3 linked regions of the Stegostoma tigrinum genome follow. The main gene of each other region encodes a partner of the protein of the gene in region 2 in a complex. Links are inferred from orthologs where the notes say so. Each region holds a gene or a part of one and is shown on either strand. Other genes may lie near its edges. The genes, in order: itgb6, itgav and itgb8.

Evidence for each region.
Region 1: the proteins of itgav (region 2) and itgb6 are in contact, whole or in part, in a crystal structure (PDB 9CZA), measured with the Homo sapiens proteins. The link is inferred for Stegostoma tigrinum from reciprocal best matches to the Homo sapiens genes ITGAV and ITGB6. Residues at the interface, in NP_002201.2 of Homo sapiens: Tyr48, Phe51, Lys72, Trp123, Leu141, His143, Gln150, Glu151, Arg152, Pro154, Asp178, Ala179, Phe184, Gln186, Phe189, Pro204, Tyr208, Trp209, Asp249, Tyr251, Tyr254, Pro274, Arg275, Arg278, Thr279, Met302, Ala303, Tyr305, Phe308, Pro328; in NP_000879.2 of Homo sapiens: Ser183, Pro184, Phe185, Lys187, Thr188, Thr189, Pro190, Ile236, Asp237, Thr238, Pro239, Asp273, Ser274, His275, Phe276, Gly277, Met278, Asp279, Lys281, Leu282, Ala283, Gly284, Val286, Pro288, Glu308, Thr311, Ile312, Gly313, Gln314, Ile316.
Region 3: the proteins of itgav (region 2) and itgb8 are in contact, whole or in part, in a cryo-EM structure (PDB 8TCF), measured with the Homo sapiens proteins. The link is inferred for Stegostoma tigrinum from reciprocal best matches to the Homo sapiens genes ITGAV and ITGB8. Residues at the interface, in NP_002201.2 of Homo sapiens: Tyr48, Phe51, Trp123, Leu141, His143, Gln150, Glu151, Arg152, Pro154, Phe184, Gln186, Phe189, Pro204, Trp209, Asp249, Tyr251, Tyr254, Arg275, Arg278, Thr279, Gln301, Met302, Ala303, Tyr305, Phe308, Pro328, Leu329, Met331, Ser335, Asp336; in NP_002205.1 of Homo sapiens: Ser197, Pro198, Ile202, His203, Pro204, Arg206, Ile250, Asp251, Thr252, Pro253, Thr287, Ser288, His289, Leu290, Ala291, Leu292, Asp293, Lys295, Leu296, Gly298, Val300, Pro302, Glu321, Ser324, Leu325, Gly326, Gln327, Glu330, His349, Trp350.

The regions. Positions count from the first base shown.
Region 1 is NC_081360.1:59,583,740-59,591,150, forward strand, and holds the start of itgb6 (integrin beta-6), read right to left. Parts: upstream 3,094-7,411; 5' UTR 3,028-3,093; intron 1-3,027. UniProt on the Homo sapiens protein: Integrin alpha-V:beta-6 (ITGAV:ITGB6) is a receptor for fibronectin and cytotactin. It recognizes the sequence R-G-D in its ligands. Internalization of integrin alpha-V/beta-6 via clathrin-mediated endocytosis promotes carcinoma cell invasion.
Region 2 is NC_081360.1:39,317,863-39,325,562, reverse strand, and holds the start of itgav (integrin alpha-V), read left to right. Parts: upstream 1-4,675; 5' UTR 4,676-5,194; coding exon 5,195-5,364; intron 5,365-5,797; coding exon 5,798-5,928; intron 5,929-7,700.
Region 3 is NC_081355.1:73,667,387-73,675,257, forward strand, and holds the start of itgb8 (integrin beta-8), read left to right. Parts: upstream 1-4,780; 5' UTR 4,781-5,264; coding exon 5,265-5,388; intron 5,389-5,619; coding exon 5,620-5,705; intron 5,706-7,871. UniProt on the Homo sapiens protein: Integrin alpha-V:beta-8 (ITGAV:ITGB8) is a receptor for fibronectin. It recognizes the sequence R-G-D in its ligands.

The sequences.
Region 1 (7,411 bases), about 20 Mb from region 2:
TAGCATTGGTATTGGTTGTGGGAGAGGTGGGACCTGTACAAACCTGGATATGTGAAGTATTTCAAATGGCACTTTGTAAGAATTCAAGATCAGTGCATTAATGCAAGAATGAAGGATAGGTATGGCAAGTTACGTGAACCTTGGATGACCAGGTATGATATGACTTTGCTCAAAAAAGGAAAAGGGAGCATAGATAAGGTCTAGGAGGATGGGAACTGACAAAGCCCTTGAAGTATCTAAAGAAAGTTAGAAAGAACTTAAACAAGAAATTAGAAGAGCTAAAAGGGGTCATGAAAAGTCATTAGCAAGCAGGATTAAGGAGAATCCCAAGGCTTTTATACATATATAAAGAACAAGAGGATAGCCAGGGAAAGGGTTGGCTCACCCGAGGACAAAGGAGGGAATCCATGTGTGGAGCCAGAAGAGGTGGGTGAGATTCTAAATGAATACTTTGTGTGGATATTCAGGGGGATTTTAAAACGGATGTGCAAAGCAAGTTTTTCACACAAAGGGTGGTGAATGCCTGGACTGCACTGCGGCTCTTTTGAGGTGGAAGCAGACACAATAGTAGCATTCAAGGAGCACCTGGATGAATACATGAATAGGAAGAAAATAAAGGGATATGGATCCTGTAAGTGAAGACAGTTTTAGTATGGAAGAGCAAAATGTGTCAGTGCAGGCTTGGAGGGCTGAAGGGCATGTTTCTGTGCTATACTGTTCTTTGTTCTTTATTATTTGTTCTTGTTCATTATAAAAACTCTTGCAATCTTCTTTTATATTTCTAGCTAGGTTCTCCTGATATTTCATCTTCTCTCCCTCTATGCTTTTTCAGTTGTTCTCTGCTGCCTTTTAAAGCTTCCCAATTCTCTGGCATCCCACTATTCTTTACTGTTTTGCCTGCTTTTTCTTTGGTTTTGTGTTGCCCCAACTTCCCTCATCAGCCATGGTTATCTCATTCACCCTCTTTGTTATGTTTCTTCATCCTTGTCATGAATTTTTGCTGTGCCTTCCGAATTACCCCCAGAAGCCCCTGCCGTTGCTAGTCCATCATCTTCCCTGCTAGGTTCCCCTTCCAATCAACACTGGCCAGCTCCTCATGTCTTCAAAGTTATCTTACTCGATTGTAATACTGTTACATCTGATTCCAACTTCTCCCTCTCAAACTGCAGAATGAATTCTATCATATTATAGTCACTGCCCCCTAGCCATTCCTTAACCTTGAGCTCCCTAATCAAGTTTGCCTCGTTACACATCATTAAATCCAGAATTGGCTGTTCCCTAGAGGGCTTCACCATAAGCTGCTCCAAAAAAACCATCTCATAGACATCCCGCGAATTCCTTTTCTAATTTTGCCAGTCCACTTGCATATTGAAGTTCCCCATAACAGTATTTTTCTGAAATATGTTTTCTATTTCCTGATTTACTTCCTGCCCCATATCCTGACTAATGTGTGGGAGGCCTGTACACAACTCTCATCAGGGTCTTTTTGCCTTTGTAGTTCCCTGAATCTACCCACACAGATTCTACACCTCTGACTCTATATTATTTCTTGGCATTGATTTAATTTCATTTCTTACAAACAAGCCAACCCTGCCCTTTCTACCTATCTGTGTGTACTTTCAATAGGATGCACATCCTCGGATATCTAATTCCCAGTCCTGATCTCCATGCAGCCATATCTCTGAAACCCACAACATCATACCCACCAATTTCAATCTGTTCCAAAGACAGCAATATTGATTTGAATTGACATAATGTCTGTTGAATGTCAGCCAATATGAGGTATGTTACTTATCAGTGACAGGGAGAAAATACAGAATCATATTGGCAACAAAGTCAATAAGGTAATTGCCACAGAGCACTGTTAGGTACATGTGCCACATGAAGGCTTGATAACAGAACCTTAAAAATTTCTATTTTGTTAAAAATGATTAAATTTCAGTAAATGTGATCATTTCAGTAGGTAAGATAAACATTATCATGAATGGTACTGCTATTTTGTAATGAAAATCCATTGATTTATTAATACACTTTGAAGAATAAACTTCATTCTTCTATACGTGAACCCTGATCACACATTTTGCTTAAACCTTAATGCTCTCAGAGCAACCAGCAGTGAGCAATAAATAGTGCTTCAACAGCTTTCCTTACATCCCAAGAACTAGAAAAAAGAAACTTTTGACTTATGAGACACTTTCTTTTATTCCTTTTTTGACATTCCCTGCTGTCCCTGGCACTTTTCTATTTGAATAGTCATCCTGCCATAAACTCTGTGTACCTTTAACCTTTTCGAAGTCTTTAGACTGGCACCTTGTCAAATGCCTTTTGAAGGCCCCAGAAAATCTCAGTAGCAGTTACACTGAACATACATGTCTAAAACCTACATAATCAGTCAATGAACTCTTTGGCAAATGAGCTTATAGTAAGAGCACTTTCAAAATATCTGAAGCAGCTTCAAAAAATGTGATAAATAGCAGCACAGATTTCAAATACTTATTTGAATAGCTTGGCTGCTTTTCAGTTGGAACTACTAAAATCAAGTCATGAGAGCTGAATAATATAAATTATAATAGAAAATAGGTTTTTTTCACTACGTTACTTTGAGTTTACACTTGTCTCTGCGTATTGTGCTTATTCATTCTCTCAACTGAAAGAACATAATTTGGAGGGAATCTGTAACCGTAAATTGTACATAGCTGTTTTGAAAGAGATGTTTTTTCAAGAGTGCTTGAAACATTTTCCTTGTTCCACATTATTACATTTCAGGGAGGATAACATGATGTGTCAGCACTTAGGTAAACACACACACCCCACTTCTCAGCTCGTTTGATCTATTATGTATACAATGTTACTTAGCCCTTGAGAAAGTATGGCAATCAGATCTGATACAAACTTACCATGTACACACTTAAAACAAAACATAGTTTGCCATTGTTGGGGAATTTCCAAACAGGAAATTAAGACAACAACCTGCACATCACCACCAGGTTTTCTACAATCTCTGACTCAAAAAGACGCATTACGTACCTTGCAGGTTCTTCATAGGGATCCTCCACACACCAGAACAACCTGACTGGCCATGATGGGTTCTGTGGGTGGAAATGATAGACTGAGCATGCTCTTAAAAAATGTTTCCATCATGACATCACAAGTTGGCAAATCAGGTAGCCTTTTACTCCTCCTTTGTGAAAATGTAGGTGTTACATTTCAAACTAGTTTATTTTTGATCTACAACTAACCGTGCCAACTTTGCTCCAACATTGCTAACAAAACTCAAATTTTGTAAGACTTGGAAATGGCAAGGATAATATGTGAAAAATACCTATTTGTTGAAAGAGTGAGAAAGCTCCCACAGGTTAGATAACCTATCACGGTCTTCACGGTTCTGAATCCTTGATACATTGTAGGAGGCATCACACAGTGGTACCAATTTTGTAAATGTCCCAGCTGAGGAGCTCCGATTACAGATTTGTTACTTCACAAATAAATCACTTTATGCGGTTGCAGCATTAAAGTTTCAGCAGTACTATATTGAAAAATACAAGATTTTTGGATTTGACAGGGTAGATACAGAAAACCTATTTCCCATTGTGGGAGCATCTAGGACCAAAAGATATAATCTCAGAATAAGGGGTCACCCATTGATGAAATAAATAGGAATTTGTTCTGTCAGACGGTTGTAAATCTGTGGTATTCTTTATTGCAGAGGACTGTAGAGGTTGCTGTAGAGGTTTCAAGGCTGAAATAGGCAGATTTTTAATCAGTAAATGAATCAAGGTTTATGGGGGAAAGTCAGGAGAGTGGATTTGAGGATTTTCAGGTCAGCTGTTATCTCATTGAATGGTGGAGCAAACTCTGTGGGCTGAATGGCTTAATTTCACTCCTATGTCTTGGGGTCTTTTGATCCTATCCCACTTGGTTGGCTTACAGATCAGTCAGGGTCAGGCATTAAATGCTGGCCTAGCCAATGATACCCACATGCCATGAATGAACAATAAAAACTGATGAAGGTATGCTTGATGGATGCAGAACAATAAACTTAATGCTACCTAATTGAATTCTCAATATATCTATAGTTTGAACAATATTATTGAATATTGCTGTCTGTTGTTACAACACCTTTAGGGACATAACCACCTCTGAAATATCCCATTTTCCCCTGGAATTCACCATAACCCAGAAACTGAACAGCATTGGAAATAAAGTGGCTACAAGAGCAGGTAAGGGTTTGGATTTCTGCAGCAAGAAATTCATCTCCTGATGTCTTAAACAATGCCCATCATCTACAATGCTCAAGTCAGGACTGTAATTTAATAGACTGAGTTTTCCTGGGTAAATGTAGCTCCAGTAGCACTCAAAAGGCTCAACATCATCTAGGACAAAGCATCCATTTGATTGACGCCCAATTACTGCCCAGCAATACACAAGGCCAGCAAAGTGTATCATCTATAAGATATGTTGCAACAACTTACCAAAGTTCCTCTTTAACACCTTCCAAACCCTCAATCTGTCCCACCTTCAAAGGATACTAGGAAGGTCTAGGCCCAAAACATCAGCCTTCCTGCTCCTCTGATGCTACTTGGCCTGCTGTGTTTATTCAGCTCTACGCCTTGTTATCCCACCTTCAAAGGAGATGGGCAGCAGATACATCTGAACAGCATCACCTGCAAGGTTCTCTCTGATGCTGTTTGTGGTTTGCCATATGTGCTATTCAACATAGCATAGACCATAAATCATGGGTTCTGTTGAATCAGGCAGTTAAAGTTAATTTACAAGACTGAAAAATAAAGTTGCATTATCTCATAATCTTTAAATAGAGAGAGGCAAAACTGGTGGTGGTTCAACCTGAGGGTCACCATGCCCCGGGGAGAGGTTGAGAAGGAGAGTCGTTCATGGTAACATTGGTTGGTGGCAGGAATTGAACCTACACTGTTGGTATTAGTTTGCATCACAAACCAGCCATCCAGCCAACTAAGATAACTGACTTCCATTTATAAGACGTACAACTATCACTTGTTTTAGATGTGCAGTTGTTGACTAGTATGATTTCTTCAGCTTCTGAACAGTTATCCAACATGACATGTACATGGCATTTAGTTATTCAAAGGACTTGACCATTGTTCTTTATCAAATAATACGAGCAAGAGCAGATAAAACAAAGGCTATCTTACATCAATCTGTGTGCTTGTATAAAATCTCAGATTCATATGTTTTCTCTTGGTTCCACCTGTATAGCTGTTTGCACACTTGTTAATCATGTTGTTGCACCACTTTCTCCCTCTTTCCAACTACACCTGGTGCACATGGCTAGGCATTGAGAGTGTGCGAAGGAAGAACTGTCTGTATCAGCTCCAAAACATAAGAGCTGCCAGTGGGAGTAAACCACTGGCTTGAGAAGTAAGACATATATTCACACACAAAATTTCAGCAAGTTGCTTTACATTTAGTTGTTGGAGACTTTACAGTATGAGCAGTGTGTTCTGTGGGGGTAATAAAGAAAGGACCTTATATGGTGACCACCCGATTTCCTGCACATGAATTGTCAGGATGCACTACTGTACTGTGGACCATTGTTAGACACCATTTTTTTGACAATTATTGAATTTGGCAATTATGGCATTCAATGTGTCAATAACCAATGTACCAATGGTATATTTAATTTGAAATTCAAAAGACAATTTGATGAAATAGTTAATCGCCAGAATGTACTCTTGTAATTGGCCATGGAATGTGGCAATCTTGCCCCATGGTTCAAAAGAATCTCATGTGGATGGAGAGGTTTTCAATTGTTGTGTTTGATGGGATTGACATATTTCACACAAACTGGGAGAATAGAAGGCATATTGTCACTGGGCTAGTAATCCAGAGATCCAGGTAATGATCTTAGTGTGGTCCCAGATATTGAATGCCATCTTATCAGATGGTAGATATAGAATTCAAGAATAAAAATCTAATGATGACCATGACATCATTGCCAAATGTCATACAAAACAAGCTGGTTCACTGATGTCTTTTCAAAAAGGATACATGCAACCTTACCTGGTTGGTCTCCAGGTGACTCCAGACCCACAGAAACATGGTTGTCTCTTAAATATCTTCAGAAATGGCTAATTAAGCCACTCAATTACATCAAAATGCAAAGAAGCCTCAAAGATATTCCATTCTAGACAAAGACATTCCAGCAAAAGTTGCTGCACAATAGTACAAAGTAGGGAGGAAGTTGCCCTGGGAGTCTTCAACATTCACTTCAGATCCCCAATAAAAACTCATGGTATGAGGTCAAACATGGAAAAGGAAAGCACATACTACCACCCAACCACCTCAGTTGGGTCAGGGACATCAATGGCCAAAGCCCAAAAATGAGCACCACTTGCCCTATCCAAGTTTTAAAACTTTTTCTGGTATTTCAACTTTACAGTAGCATCCAATTTCCATTTCATTTTAATGCAAAATGAAAAATGCATGGCCCCATAACATTTACAGCACATGTATATCTGATCCAGTTCAGCAGCCCCAGGATATTCAGACTGGAGGATTCAAAGGTGACATAGCCATTGAATGTCAAGGAGCATTATTTATATTCTCTCCTGGTGGAGATGTGATTGCTTACCACCTGCGTGTTGTGAATATTCATAACCACTTATCAGCCCAAGCCTAAATTTGGTCCAGATCTTGCTGCATATGGACACAGGCAGCTTCCATATCTGAGGAATCACAAAAGATGCTCAACATTGTGCAATCATCAGCAAACCCATTTCTGACCTGATAATGGAGGGAAGGCTGTTGATGAAGCAACTGAAGATAGTTAAGCCGAGGAAACTACCCTTGAAGTACTCCTGTAGAGAGGTCGTGGAGGACACATGTCTTGCCTCTAACAACCACAATTGTTTTTCATTGTCAAGTATGAGAGCTTTCCTGCAATTCTCACTGATTCTTGATGTTACACTCCCTTGAGTGTGGCCTTCATGTCAAAAGCTGTCACTCTCACCCCATTTCTGAAGAAGGGCCCCGACCTGAAAGGTTAAGCTTTCCTGCTCCTCTGAAGCTGCTTGGCTTGCTGTGTTCATCCAGCTCTGCACCTTGTTATCTCTTACTCTCACCCCATGTCTGGAATTCAGCTGTTTGTTCACATTTGAGCCAAGGCTGTAATAAGGTCAAGAACTGAGTGGCCCTGGTGAAACCCAAACAGAGCATAATTGAGCAAGTTATTGCTGAGCAGATGCTGCTTGATAGCACTGTTGATGACACCTTTGATCACTTTACTGATGATTGAGAGGAGACTGATAGAATGGTAATTTGCCAGGTTGGATTTTTATGTACAGGACATATCTGGGCAATTTTCCACATCATCAGGTAGATGTCAGTGTTGTAACTGTATAGGAAGAACTTACTTAGCTAAGGGAGTGACAAG
Region 2 (7,700 bases):
TTAGCGTCTTTTAAGATATATTTGGACAGGTACATGGATGGGCAGGGACCAAATGGACACAGACCGTTAGAAAATAGATGACAGGTTAGACAGAGGATCTTGATCAGCGCAGGCTTGGAGGGCCGAAGGGCCTGTTCCTGTGCTGTAATTTTCTTTGTTCTTTGTACTTACTCATAGTGATTTATTAGTATGGTGGAGGATTGGCTAACAGGAACTAAAAAGTTTGGATTCATTCATCATGTCGGATTGACAAACTGTAATTGGAATTCCCTGAGGATCATTGCTGGAGCCTTCATTATATATGATCTAAATTGATAATGTAAACAAAGGAATCCACCAGAAACAATCCAAATCCACTGATGATACAAATATAGGTACCAAAGCAAGTTTGAGGATGATACAATGGGTTGCAATGTTCTTGCCCTTAGACAAGGCAGATTGGCAAGTCTGCTTGAAATACCTGACAAATTCAGGAAAATTAGATTCTCAATGTTGAGAAATAAAGTCTTATTCTCCATCCCAGGTTTTGAAAGCAAGACAAGAATTTCACTTGTGAGCGGGAAATGGTCTATTTGCATTTATTTATATTTCATTATTTCCAGCTCACATAACATTTATGTTCAATTTGCCATTTTCCCAAATGTCAGAGAGAAATTAGCTCCTGAGGGAGTGCGGCAAAGGTTTACCAGGCTGATTCCGGGTCTGGTGGGACTGATGTATGAGGAGAGATTGATTGACCAGGTTTGATGGTATTTGCTGGACTTCAGACTAATGGGGAGGGGTCTCATAGAGACTTATAATAGTCTAATAGGACTAGACAAGGTAGATGTAGGGAGGATGTTCTCGATGGTGGGTGTGTTCGGAACCGGGGTCACAGTCTGAGGATTTGGGATAAAACATTTAGGACGGAGATGAGGAGACATTTCTTCACCCAATGAGTGGTGATCCTGAGGAATTCATTTCCACAGGAAGCAGTTGATGCCAAAACATTGAATGTATTCAAGAGACAGCTAGATATAGCACTTGGGGCAAATGGGATCAAAGGTTATGGGGAAAATGCAGGATTAGGCTATTGAGTTGGATGATCAGCCATAATCGTGGTGAATGGTGGAGCAGGCTTGAATAGATGAATGGCCTCCTCCTGCTCCTATCTTCCATGTTTCTATGACATAAAAATTGAAGTGAGTACCTGGCAGCTTCAACTTACTACTTGCTTCACTAGAACTCCATCTTGGCCTGGAGTGTCCAACACCTCAGTGCATGTGGAATGGGCAGTGATCATCTGCAACCCCGCCCTCATCCACAATGTTGACATTGCACATGTACCAGCCTCACGACGTCATCATTGAACATCTCCGACTCAGAATAGAGTTAGCAACTTTAATGCAGCATTGCATCAACATCTTTGATTGTAATGTTGCAGCCAGGCTGCTTTGAACACAGGGACAAAAGACCCATCTCATGCATTGGACAGGATGTACCTCAGGCATGTGCTTCATCTAAATGACCATGTCAAAGTAGGGGCAGCTCTCAGTCAAGTCCCAAGAGGCTGTCATCATTCAGGAGTTCTAGCACAGAGAGTCAAGGGCAGGCAGCATCTTTCTCATTCTTGGTGCTTGGACATGACTGTCAGTTGTTTGGGCAGCTAGGGGATCTGTTTCACTACCAGGTGAGAATGGGTCATGGTCAGTCCTGCAGTGCAACCATTCAGAGGATTAGTAGTAGGTCAGTCAGGGAACTTCAGGGCGATCAGTACGGTTTTCAAATACTTATCAATTGGGTTTGCCCTTCCAAGTCAGTTGGATGTTGTGGGATTAGGATGTTTGTTGGATTGAAGGGTTTATTTGCTGAAAATCAAAGTGGGTTATCAAGGACTACTGCTGTGGTGAGGAAGCTGAGGAAGTCATTTGCAGGAACAAAAACAGAAGTTGCTGGAAAAGCTCAGCAGGGTCTGGCAGTATCTCTGAAGAAAAATCAGAGTTACCATTTTGGGTCCAGTGACCCTTCTTCTGAACAGGCCTTTCCTCCCTTCTGAGTATGGGTCCCCAGACCAGAAACATTAGCTCTGATTTCTCTTCACAGATGCTGCCAGACCTGCTGAACTTTTCCAGCAACTTCTGTTTTGTGTCAAGTGTGTGATGCATAAACTGATCACTCATAGAATAAGGACCTCTCCTGTTTCTGATACTCCCTACATAAGTTCCATGGAAATGTGACCGATAGATCCCACCACACTGGATTTATCATCACTGTGGCTGTGGTGCAACAAAGCTGGAGAGAAACTAATGAAACACAAACGCAATAAACACAAATACACAAGCAGCAAACTTTGGTTGCTGAACAGCCTCCACCTGGAAAAGTTGCAGTTGAAGTTCTCCTCAGGGAATTGCAGGAGGTCTATCAAAGTCTATCATCCCATATGCCATTCCCTCCTGATGTATGAGGTGCATTGCTGCCACACACTGGGGATGTTTCTCAATATTCCAGATATCATCTGGATCAGGACGTATGAACTGATGAGTGGTTGTTCTAAACCAGTGACTACCAAGGTGACAACTGCACTAAATGTTTATGCAATTGGCTAATTCCATTCCTCTCAATGCTCAACCCACAAATGTAACTGCGAGCAATGTAATTTGTGAGAAAACACACCACTTTACCTCATTTCCCTATGGCAAGGTCATTGCTGTGCCTTGTGTAGTAGGCTTTGGTAATTACAGTTAGCTTCCACACATATAGACTGTACATATGTCGTGTTCAGAGTACCATATCATAACATGGCTGACTGCATCCAAAGAAAAGGGTTCCATTCCATCAATGTACAGTGATCTGTGATTATCAGTACCACATCTAAGACGTCTGTGCCAGATACAATGGGAGCTGGAATGATGCCTGTATCCTTGAGAACTCTCATGTTTCTGCTTTGCTTCAAAGGCCAGACGCTTGACAAGGATGGTTACTGGGAGGCCTGGGCTATCTTCTAAACCCACAGCTGATTACTCATTCGTACAATCCCCTGACAGATGCTTAGTGTAAATTTAATGTAGCCCATTATTTCTACAGGACCATGGTGGAACAGATGAATAGACTCATACAGAGGTTCGTGTGCTTGGAAACATTAGGGAGTGAGGTAGGGTGTGCTTGGGAAAGAGTAGCTCTCTCTGAGACACAGTTCTAACATGGAATGGAACTAAGGGCAGGTAATCAACCTGCAGCTTGTTTCTTGTAATATAGCTACAACGATCAGTCAGCTTCTATTTCCAATGAAGTGTCACCATGCCACATCTATCCCTAAGTGTTCCTTTTCATTTCCAACCCAATGCATGTACTGTGATTTATCTGCTGCACAGCTGGGCTTTAAATATGGTGCCAGTGGTGGAAATTTGGAAGGTCATGGCTTTTTGATGCATAGATGATGGGGTGAATTGGGAAGAATTCATCAGAAAACTTACTATAACTCATGAAGAGAAATCCTTGATGCAATACCCTGAAATTAGTGTTATTTCTTAAAATTCACCCCAAGGAGATTGCAAAGGTGTACAGTTAGGTCAAGTGAGTGGGCAAAAAAAAAAATCTGGCAGGTGGTGTGTAATGTGGGAGGTTTATTAGGTTGATTTCTAAGATAATTGGGCAGTCTTTTACTATGTTTCTCTTCACAGATGCTGCCAGCTGTTGAGAGTTTCTCCAGCACTTTCTACTTTTGTTTCGGTTACAGAAAAGTTGTGAATGGAGGTGGACATGATGGAATTGCTGCAGTCAACCCAATTCCTGACCTTATGGTTTAAGAGCAGTCTTGATGAAGTTTCTCTCCATTTAGATAATAAGCTGTCTTTCTATTCTTCTGACCAAAATGTTGAACCTAACACTTATCCATGTTAAACTCCATCTGCCAAATGTTGGCCCATTCACCTAACCCATCCCTACCCACTTGTAATGATTTTTTTAAAAAAAATCTTCATTGCGATGTACTTTCCGATCTATTTTAGTTTCGTCTGCAAATTTGGCTACAATACATTCTAACCTTGCATCCAAATTATTAATTTAGATTGTAAATACGTCGGGTCTGAGCACCGAACCCTGTGGCATTCCACTAGTTACATTTTGCCAATCAGAAAAAAGAAACAGAAAACGTCTTTCCTATTAGTCTTACATTGCATGTCAATATCCTGATTATCCCTGCTATTATTCAGCAACTCAACTTCAACACGCGAGATGCATTTCGTCTGATTTGCGATGTATCCTAAAACTAAACATCACGGTTAGATTGGTGATTGTAGGAGGCTTCGCAGTGGGTTATATGTCCAATTTTAAACAGTTCGCACAGTTTTTACCAGTGTTGGCTCCAGGAGCCATTAAGAGGTCATATTCTGCAGATCGGTTACTTTGACTTTTTTTTATTTCAGAGCGAAAACAAACTACTGCTGATGCCAGAGATGTGAAATCCGAAGGGACCTACTGGACTCGAAACATAACTCTCTCTACAGATGCTGGCAGACCTGCTGAGTTTCTCTCGCCCTTTTCTTTATTCCCTGGGAAGAAGTCTATGTAATTGAACCAAACGTGTGTCACAAAAGCGCGCAGCGACACCTCGTTTCCCACCTTGTCCCACCCCCACAGAAATCAACCCGATCTGATCTCCCTGTACGGAGCAGTTGGGTTGTTCCGTCCCAGTTGTCTGCTGGAATGTGCAGTGCAGGAGACCGGGGAGGGGGGGAGGTGGAAGTATGACAGGCATTAAGTTGCGGGACGCCTGGTTGGGTGGAGCTCCTCTTGCAGAAAGACGTCGGTGGAAAGCTGCCTTCATACCCGGGGTCGGGGAAAGACCGCCTCATTCACATCCGACATCCTCCTCACTTCACTTCCTGACACGAGCGGTGCGCGAGGTTGTTCTGTTGCCATTGGCAGCGCCAGACCAGAGGGTTCTGTTGCCATAGGTAGTGCCAGGCCTGTGTTCCAAATCCGAGTTTTGAGTCACAGTCTGGGAGCGGAGCAGCTGCCCTCCCACCAACAGCGAGAGCAGCGAAGTGGGGGGTGGGGGCGGATTGTCTGACTGGGCAAGCCGCGGCCCGTCGGTACAGTCGCTATCCACCCCGCTAACAAAACAGCGAGTCCTCTGAAGCTCACTCACATTCGCCCCGGATCTCGGACTGAACTGTTAAGAGTTTGGAAGGCGAGCACAACAAGCCGAACAAGAATGGCATCCGCGGCTACAGGCATTGGACGCCCGGCGCTGGCAGTGTTTCTGTTCACTCTCTCCTGTTCTTACGGGTTTAATCTGGACGCCAGCAACCCGTCTGTTTATTCCGGACCTCCGGGCAGTTACTTCGGATTTGCTGTGGATTTTTTCACACCTGCCCCGACAGAGTAAGAGATTTAAAACAATGCGGGGTGGGGGAGGGGGCTTTAAAGCCTGGACACTTTTCAACTGTGAACCAAGTTTGTTCTTCCAACAACAAACATAAAGTTAAGTCTAGGAATGCTGTTATGACTTAAGTGCAACGAATGCTGGTCTGGTGAACTGCTTCGATTGTAACATCTACTCAACGTATTAGTAAATGAAAGCAAGAACCGTATTGTGATTGTTAAATATTCGTGTAGCCCTTTCAGTCAAATCTGAACAACAACGGTACCTGGACAAAGATTGTCACAGACCTGTGTATGACTTGAGTTATCGTATCTGTGTTTGATCGATCCGTTACATTGCACGAGAAAAACGTACTTGCAGATAGGTGACAATACAGTAAATTGAACAAAGGCTTTAACCCCTCACTTTTTCTTTTTCTTATATTCGTACCAGGATAAGTATTTTAGTTGGAGCCCCAAAGGCAAATACTTCTCAACCAAACATAGTCGAAGGTGGGGCAGTATACAAGTGCCCCTGGAATAATGGGGCCAGCAACTGCGAACAGTTTGAATTTGACAAGACAGGTACTGTATACAAGTTCATGGTTCGATTTAACGTTTTAAATAATCATGCAATACTATAGTTGAGAGGATGACTGCTGATATAAGTAATTATATATTATGCATAATTATAGGGGATTTCAAACAAATATTTTACAAAAATCAGTATGAGATGCTTTCTCGAATTACTAATCAGTTGTTCTATCAACCTTTATGACTTTGAGAGTGGTCTGATCAAATGAACATGGTTAATATGACCACTCTTTTTTTAAGTATTCAGTTTTTTCTAAAATGTCAGTCTGCCTCCCTAACAGAAGCACACTATATTGCAGTTTCTGAAATTTAGCCTTTAAGGTCACTTAGAATGTCTGAGATTAACTACATCAGCAGCTGTTATTAAAGGGATGATAATGTATGAGATGTCCAATGCTGAATGTTTAGCACATTTGCCCTATTCAATTAGCAATCCTAATCTTGCCTTCAGTCAGAAAGCTGAGAGTTTGTGATCAAGTCTAGAGATTTGAATACACAGTCAAGTCTAACAATTCAATGATGTAATGATGGAATGCAGCACTGATGGACATCTCTTTTTTCTGGTGTGACCTTAAACTGTTTTACCTTGTTAGGTAAATATATAGCATTCCATGACAGTATTTGTCCCCCAGACACCACCTGTGAAACACCTATGTTGTTCGTTTCAGAAATAATGGGAACTGCAGATGCTGGAGAATCCATGATAACAAAGTGTGAAGCAGGATGAACACAGCAGGCCCTCTGATGAAGGGTCTAGGCCCGAAACGTCAGCTTTTGCGCTCTTGAGATGCTGCTTGGCCTGCTGTGTTCATCCAGCTCCACACTTTGTTATGTTGTTTGTTTCATTGCTGTTTCTGGAACATCATTGTCTGCAAATTGGCTACTGTATTCCAAATACTACAACAGTGACAACTTTCCGAAGTAATATTTAATAAATAGTAAATTGTTTGGGATAAATGCAATATATATTTGCTTATTCTTTTAAAATAGTTTAATGTATTTTAAAACATTGGGGATGAGACCAGTAAGTGCTGAAAGTTCCTGCCGGCACCCCGCCCCCAACCCCATTACCATCCATGCTAAACATCATTTGGTTTTGTTTATTCTTTGCCTGAGAGGTTAGTTGGGACAAGTGAAAGTCAAAACTATTTATCTCATGCTACTGTCTTCATTTACCTCCCCCGCCCCCAATTCAGATCGAGAAGTGCGTGATATGGTCACCTGCATTTATTAAACTAGAGAATGGCAAAAAAAGTGGATTCTGGAGTAATTAAAAAGCAATAATAAATATTTTAAAATACATTAAACCAAGAACAGGTGAAGTAGCAATTTACCTTCACTTCACTCAATCTAATCTACTGTATATGCTGCTCATAATGTGGCTTCCTCTGGGAAACAAAATGCAGACTGAGTGACCACTTTGCAGAACATCTACGCTGTGTTCACAAAAAATAACCTCCAGCTTCCAGTTGCCTGCCACTTCAACGCTGTGTTTCCTGACCAACATTTCTGTTGTGGGCCAGCTGCAATGAGGCTCAGCACAGGCTGGAAGAACATCATCTCATTTTTCACTTGGAGACCCTGCAACCTTCCCAACTCAATATTGTGTTCAATAAGTTTACATCCTGAACATCATCTTCCAAGACCTTTACCCAGTCCCATACCCAGACCTTGTCGTCATTTGGGCTGCTTTCAGCACAGTCAGTCTATTTTCAACAACTTATGGTCCACATTATCAGCTTCTCTCCTTCCCTAACATACAA
Region 3 (7,871 bases), on a different chromosome or scaffold from region 2:
GCACAAGATAAAAAGCTTCAAGAAAATTTCTCTTTTTTTGGCAATACTTTGTATTTTTAGCCATCCATAGAACTCGTAGCTTTGGATGCCCTGTTGTTTCTCCTTGTGAAATATATGTTCTCTGCACTGAAACACTGAAAGTTCCCATTGCCTATATGTTGCTTTGTTTTAAATTCATCAATGGGATGTGGTCGCCACTGGCAAGGTAAACATTTATTGTCTATTCCAATTTCCCTTAAAAAAGTGGTGGTGAGCTGTTTTTTTTAATGACAACTGAATGGCTTTCTTGGCCATTTCAGAGCACGTTTAAGAGTCATACACTGGAAGCTTAAGTTGTAAGTAGGCCAGACTTGGTAAGGACAGTATATTTCCTTCTCTAATGGACATTATTGAACCAAATGCTGTTTTACAACAATCTGGTAATTTCATTTTTCTGTTACCTGGGCTAACTTGTAGTTCCATACTGATTTGTTTATTTTAAATCACCAGCCGTAGCTGGGGGAGAAGCAATTATCATGCAATTAGGCAAGATTCAGGATGCACAGGATGGGGAAGGAAATTGCAGGGGCTGGGCACAATTGAAATGTGGAGCTTATTCAAGGGACAGTTACTGCGTGTCCTTGATATGTATGTACCTGTCAGGCAGGGAGGAAGTAGTTGAGCGAGGGATCTGTGGTTTACTAAAGAAGTTGAATCTCTTGTCAAGAGGAAGAAGGAGGCTTATGTAAAGATGAGGTGTGAAGGCTCAGTTAGGGCGCTTGAGAGTTGCAGGTTAGCCAGGAAGGATCTAAAGAGAGAGCTAAGAACAGCCAGGAGGGGACATGAGAAGTCTTTAGCAGGTAGGATCAAGGAAAACCCTAAAGCTTTCTATAGGTATGTCAGGAATAGAAGAATGACTAGAGTAAGATTAGGGTCAGTCAAGGACACTAGTGGGAAGTTGTACGTGGATTCCGAAGCATTAGGAGAGGCACTAAATGAATATTTTACATCAGTATTCATAGAGGAAAAAGACAATGTTGTCGAGGAGAATACTGAAATTCAGGCTATTAGACTAGATGGGATTGAGGTTCTTAAGGAGGACGTGTTAGCAATTCTGGAAAGTGTGAAAATAGATAAGTTCCCTGGGCCAGATGCCAATTATCCTAGGATTCTCTGGGAAGTTCAGGAGGAGATTGCAGAGCCTTTGGCTTTGATCTTTATGTCACCATTGTCTACAGGAACAGTGCTAGAAGACTGGAGGATAGCAAATGTTGTCCCTTATTCAAGAAGGCGAGTAGACAACTCTGTTAATTAATGACCAGTGAGCCTTACTTTTGTTGTGGGTAAAGTGTTGGATAGGATTATAAGAGGTAGGATTTATAATCATCTAGAAAAGAATAATTTGATTAGGGATAGTCAACACGATTTTGTGAAGGGTAGGTCATGCCTCAAAAACCTCATTGAGTTCTTTGAGAAGCTGACCAAACAGGTGGATGAGATTAAAGCAGTTGATGTGTTGTATATGGACTTCAGTAAAGCGTTTGATAAGGTTCCCCATGGTAGGCTATTGCAGAAAATATGGAGGCATGGGATTGAGGGTGATTTAGCAGTTTGGATCAGAAATTGGCTAGCTGTAAGAAGACAGAGGGTGGTGGTTTTTGGGAAATATTCATCCTGGAGTTCAGTTACAAGTAGTGTACTGTAAGGATCTGTTTTGGGGCCACTGCTCGTTGTCATTTTTATAAATGACCTGGATGAGGGCGTAGAAGGATGGGTTAGTAAATTTGTGGATGGCACTAAATTCGGTGGAGTTGTGGATAGTGTGCCAAGGATGTTGCAGGTTACGGAGGGACCTAGATAAGCTGCAGAGCTGGGCTGAGAGGTGGCAAAGGGAGTTTAATGCAGAAAAGTGTGAGGTGATTCACTTTGGAAGGAGTAACAAGAATGCAGAGTACTGGGCTAATGGTAAGATTCTTGGTAGTGTGAATGAGCAGAGAGATCTCGGTGTCCATGTGCATAGATCCCTGAAAGTTGCCACCCAGGTTGATAGGGTTGTTAAGAAGGCATACAGTGTGTTAGGTTTTATTGGTAGAGGGATTGAGTTTCGGAGCCATGAGGTCATGTTGCAGCTGTACAAAACTCTGGCATGGCCACACTTGGAGTACTGGTCGCTGCATTATAGGAAGGATGTGGAAGCATTGGAAAGGGTGCAGAGGAGATTTACCAGGATGTTGCTTGGTATGGAGGGAAGGTCTTATGAGGAAAGGCTGAGGGACTTGAGGCTGTTTTTGTTAGAGAGAAGAAGGTTAAGAGGTGACTGAATAGAGACATACAAGGTTAGAGGATTAGATAGCGTGGACAGTGAGAGCCTTTTTCCTCGGATGGTGATGGCTAGCACGAAGGGACATAGCTTTAAACTGGAGGGTGGCAGATATAGGACAGATGTCAGAGGTGGGCTCTTTACTGAGTAAGTAGTAAGGGGGTGGAATGCCCTGTTTGCAACAGCAGTAGACTCACCAACTTTAAGGGCATTTAAACAGTCATTGGATAAACATATGGATGATAATGGAATAGTGTAGGTTAGATGGGCTTCAGATTGGTTTCACAGGTCGGCGCAACATTGAGGGCCAAAGGGCCTGTACTGCGCTGTAATGTTCTAAGTTCTTGACCCCAAGTCCAGTAAGATCACTTTTCTGCTATACCCTTTTCACCTACCAACCTACAATTATAATACAACTGGGCCAGATCCATTTCTTTAACACTTGAAATTAAACCTCCTGCAATTAGACTCCGTAACATGTGAATCTCCTTTCTCCTACTCCAAACCTTACTATATTAGAATCACAATTACCTAAATGCCTTTCCTGCAGCAATGCACTCCATTTCCCTCTCTTCACTTCCCAGGACTGGATTCAGTTTGATATTTCAAGATAATAGAATGTGAGGCTGGATGAACACAGCAGGCCAAGCAGCATCTCAGGAGCACCGACATGCATATGGTCACAGAAATTTGAGGGTGCATACATGAGGATCAATGGTCGGCACATCATCGTGGGCTGAAGGGCCTGTTCTGTGCTGTACTGTTCTATGTTCTATGTTCTAATAGCCATTTAATATTGGCCCTCAAATGTGGCAGATGTGTTGTCCTCAACAAAAAATATTTCCATTTAAAGCACACACCTTATTTATTCATGAATTAATTACATCATAGTCATAAACCCTTTGGTTTTGAATCTGATTATTTTTATTATTTGGGCCATTATTTGTGTACCCTTAAGATGGAATGATTCCCCATCAGGACTATAACATGCATTGCACAAATCATGCATCAGGAACAAGACATCAACAATCAAATCACCTTTTGAAAACACCATCCACATTCAGGACCCAGGAGGAGGCATTCGCTACAACGGTTCGTTTTTTCAGCAGTGCATTTGTTCCTGGCTGGAATATTAGAAAATGTAAGCAATTAAAACGTTGGGATTCGATTCCACTTTGGGCGCCAACAATCAATCACAACCTTACGTGTTTTGATAGCTGCACGATTGAATAGAGTGTGCATCCATTCAATCTGGACGAGTAGCAGCCCTTCTGAACCACGAATCCTTTTGTTTTTGAAAAAAAAGTGTGTAAAACTGCAAGAAATTACAAACGCCACGTCAAGCAGACACTCACCACCTGTCTTGCTGGCTGCAACTGCGATGGTCAAAATGTGAACGACGCTTAAGAAGACCTTGGCCGGGAAGTGCCTGGGTTTTAGGAGTGAGCCGGTTGCGAGAATGAAGACGCGCAGCTTCATGGCGGTTGTGCTCCTGAGATGCTGCTTGGCCTGCTGTGTTCATCCAGCCTCACATTCTATTATCTTGGAATTCTCCAGCATCTGCAGTTCCCATTATCTCAGTTTGATATTTCACTTGCTTAGAAACACGCTGATAATTGTTTTCTTGTGGGATCTTGTCTCCATCTTTTTTGGTTCACGGCAGTAATAATGGGTTTGTTTGATGATCATGGTGATTCCAGATAAACTACAGATTTGTAGGAAAAGGGGCCATAATCGTGGATTGGCTTGATGGGCCGAGTGATGTTAATGATTTCTTGAGGCATTTATTTTCCAAAAATAATACTGGACACATTAATTTGGGAACCAGTCTCAGTGACTCACTGCAAAGAAACATATCATTTGATAAGTCTTTTTGTTTGTTTTTCCTACCTAAAAGATCAGTGAATAAAAGCAGGAAATACTGGAGAAACTCAGCTGTTTTGGCATCGTCTGTAGAGAGAGAGAAACGGAATTAAGTTTGGAGTCCAAAAACTTCCTCAGGACTCAGTTTCTCAGTTTGAGTTCAGTTCCGAAGAACAGTGGTACCCCAAGTCTGTTTCTCTCTCCACAGATGCAGTCAGATCTGCTGAGTTTCTCCAGTATTTTCTATTTTAGATTTCCAGTATCCATAGTATTTTGATTTGTTTCTTTTTTTTTAAAAAGGTCAAAACTTTAGTCTGCTGATAAAACATTTGGCTTTCGGCACTCCACACTGGAAGAAATGGTTGTGCTTAAAGGTAAATTATTATTTCTTTTTCTCAACAATTTTAAGGAACACTTATTCGAGATGCTGTTTTGAACAGGCTACATTTGGCGGCTAATATGGAACAGACCGTCATGGTATTTGATGTTATTGACTGAGGAGTGAGGAGAGTTTTGCACCTTTAAGGAAACTGCCTTGTCGAGCACGGTCTCTGCTCCGCGTTTCTGTGGCAACAGTGAATTGAGGTTCAGACAATCTGAAAAGTCGAGTGAAAACGTGTTTGCAGAAGCTGCGGCTTCAGACGTAGCCAGAGTTGGTGTCTGAATCTGCTATTAAACTTTTACAGTTTGTTTCCCCCCCAATTCACTTATCTGTCTATTGAGAAAAAAAGCTTTCCTCTCTCCGTGTTCTCCGACAGAGAAACTCCTAGGAGGGACTAAAGAGAGTTGTTTAAACTGCTGGGGGAGTAGTTTCTTTCGTCCCTCGACTTACGATAGGCTTCTGGGTGAATGAGTGGGTGAATAAAGGGATTTCCAAAGCTCAGTGCACAATAGACAGAGAGAGAGAGAGGAGGAGGAGGAGAATAAGGATAAGGATAAGGAGGAGGAGGAGGAAGAGGAGAAGGAGAAGTAGAGCTCCGTCCCTGGGCAGCTTGTGCTGGGAGCTCCTGGTGCTCTGGGATGCTTCATCCTGCGGTCAGTGCGCGACTCTCCGCAGCCCGAAGCCCCTCTCAATCGCTTCGCCCGTGCGCTTCCTCACGCCATGAAGCTGCGCGTCTTCATTCTCGCAACCGGCTCACTCCTAAAACCCAGGCACTTCCCGGCCAAGGTCTTCTTAAGCGTCGTTCACATTTTGACCATCGCAGTTGCAGCCAGCAAGACAGGTGGTGAGTGTCTGCTTGACGTGGCGTTTGTAATTTCTTGCAGTTTTACACACTTTTTTTTCAAAAACAAAAGGATTCGTGGTTCAGAAGGGCTGCTACTCGTCCAGATTGAATGGATGCACACTCTATTCAATCGTGCAGCTATCAAAACACGTAAGGTTGTGATTGATTGTTGGCGCCCAAAGTGGAATCGAATCCCAACGTTTTAATTGCTTACATTTTCTAATATTCCAGCCAGGAACAAATGCACTGCTGAAAAAACGAACCGTTGTAGCGAATGCCTCCTCCTGGGTCCTGAATGTGGATGGTGTTTTCAAAAGGTGATTTGATTGTTGATGTCTTGTTCCTGATGCATGATTTGTGCAATGCATGTTATAGTCCTGATGGGGAATCATTCCATCTTAAGGGTACACAAATAATGGCCCAAATAATAAAAATAATCAGATTCAAAACCAAAGGGTTTATGACTATGATGTAATTAATTCATGAATAAATAAGGTGTGTGCTTTAAATGGAAATATTTTTTGTTGAGGACAACACATCTGCCATATTTGAGGGCCAATATTAAATGGCTATTAGAACATAGAACATAGAACAGTACAGCACAGAACAGGCCCTTCAGCCCACGATGATGTGCCGACCATTGATCCTCATGTATGCACCGTCAAATTTCTGTGACCATATACATGTCCAGCAGTCTCTTAAATGTCCCCAATAACCTTGCTTCCACAACTGCTGCTGGCAACGCATTCCATGCTCTCACAACTCTCTGCGTAAAGAACCTGCCTCTGACATCCCCTCTATACTTTCCTCCAACCAGCTTAAAACTATGACCCCTCGTGCTAGCCATTTCTGCCCTGGGAAATAGTCTCTGGCTATCAACTCTATCTATGCCTCTCATTATCTTGTATACCTCAATTAGGTCCCCTCTCCTCCTCCTTTTCTCCAATGAAAAGAGACCGAGCTCAGTCAACCTCTCTTCATAAGATAAGCCCTCCAGTCCAGGCAGCATCCTGGTCAACCTCCTCTGAACCCTCTCCAAAGCATCCACATCTTTCCTATTATAGGGCGACCTGTATTCCTTCATAGCGAATTCATTAGCTTTACCTTGTCTACACTGATGACACACATTTCACCTCACTATTAGCCCTGTTGGTCTCAGCATTTACTCTGCTTTGTAATACAACTTGTCTGATTCCAGTGTTCAGAGGTTATAGTTCTTCCATTTGGATAGCAAGAAGAGTAAAGCCTCATCTTTGGTCACTTCCACAAACCCAATCTACTGAACATTGATAGGCCTGAAACATCAGCTTTTGTACTCCTAAGATGCTGCTTCGCCTGCTGTGTTCATCCAGCCCCACACTTTGTTATCTACTGAACACTTACTAGGCCACCATCCCAGGCAGAACAAGACAGGTCACAGCCTTAGTGATATGTGGTTCTGATCTAAACATGTTTCTCCCTCCATCCTCTCCATCCTCAAGATTGCTAACATTCACATTTGTCACTTTGTTCATCTGTGCTTTCACTTTCATGCTGACACTTTCATCAGCTATACCTTTGTTATCTCTAAGACTTAACTATTGCAATACATTCCTGCCTTGGCCCCATCTTATAGCCTCTAAAAACCTGGCCTCACATACTACACTGCTGCTTGGCCCTAACATACACTAAGTCATGTTCACCAGTCACACAATATTTATTGTAAACCACTGGCTGTCAGCCCAGCTACACCTTGTTGTCCTTGTTATCAAATCCTTCATGGCCATACTGCTCCCTATTTTTTAACTTCCTTCAGCAATATAACCCTGTGAGACTTCTGCACTTTTCTTGGCTTCCTGCCTTTCCTCAATTTCCTTTGCATCATGATTGTCAGCTGTAACCTCAGTTCCCTAATTGTTAAACTGTGGAATTACCCTGCCCAACCTTTCCATCTCTTTAAAGATGCTCATTACCTCTTTGATCATGCTTTGGGTCAAATGTCCCAGCATTTCCTTGTATGGCTGGTTGTCAAATTTTGTTTTCACTCTTGTGAAATGTCTTGGGATGTATTAATATTTAACACTTGTATAAACCCTGAAGACATTTAGGGACAATTTAGGTGAACACTTGAAACACAGTAGCATTGTGTTCCTATCTCTGAGCCAGTGAGCCTGAGTTCAAATCCCAGTTACTCCAGAGATGTGTCACAAAAACACCGAACAGGTTAGTTGGAAAACACAAAGCCACAGGCCAGATGCTGGGAATTTGGAGTAGAATAGATGAGTGTTTGATGACCAGTGGAGGTACAACCAGCCAAAGGGCCTTTTGTATTATAAAAACTTTACAACCTCTGTGTTAAATGTACTGTATAAATATTGTTGGCTTCACTTCAAGATGGTAATCGTTAAAGTTATTGAAGAGTGATTCGTGAATAAGCAAACAAAATAGTAGGGAGACATTTTATGTACATATCACAATAAATTATCATTAATCTTAGATTTTCA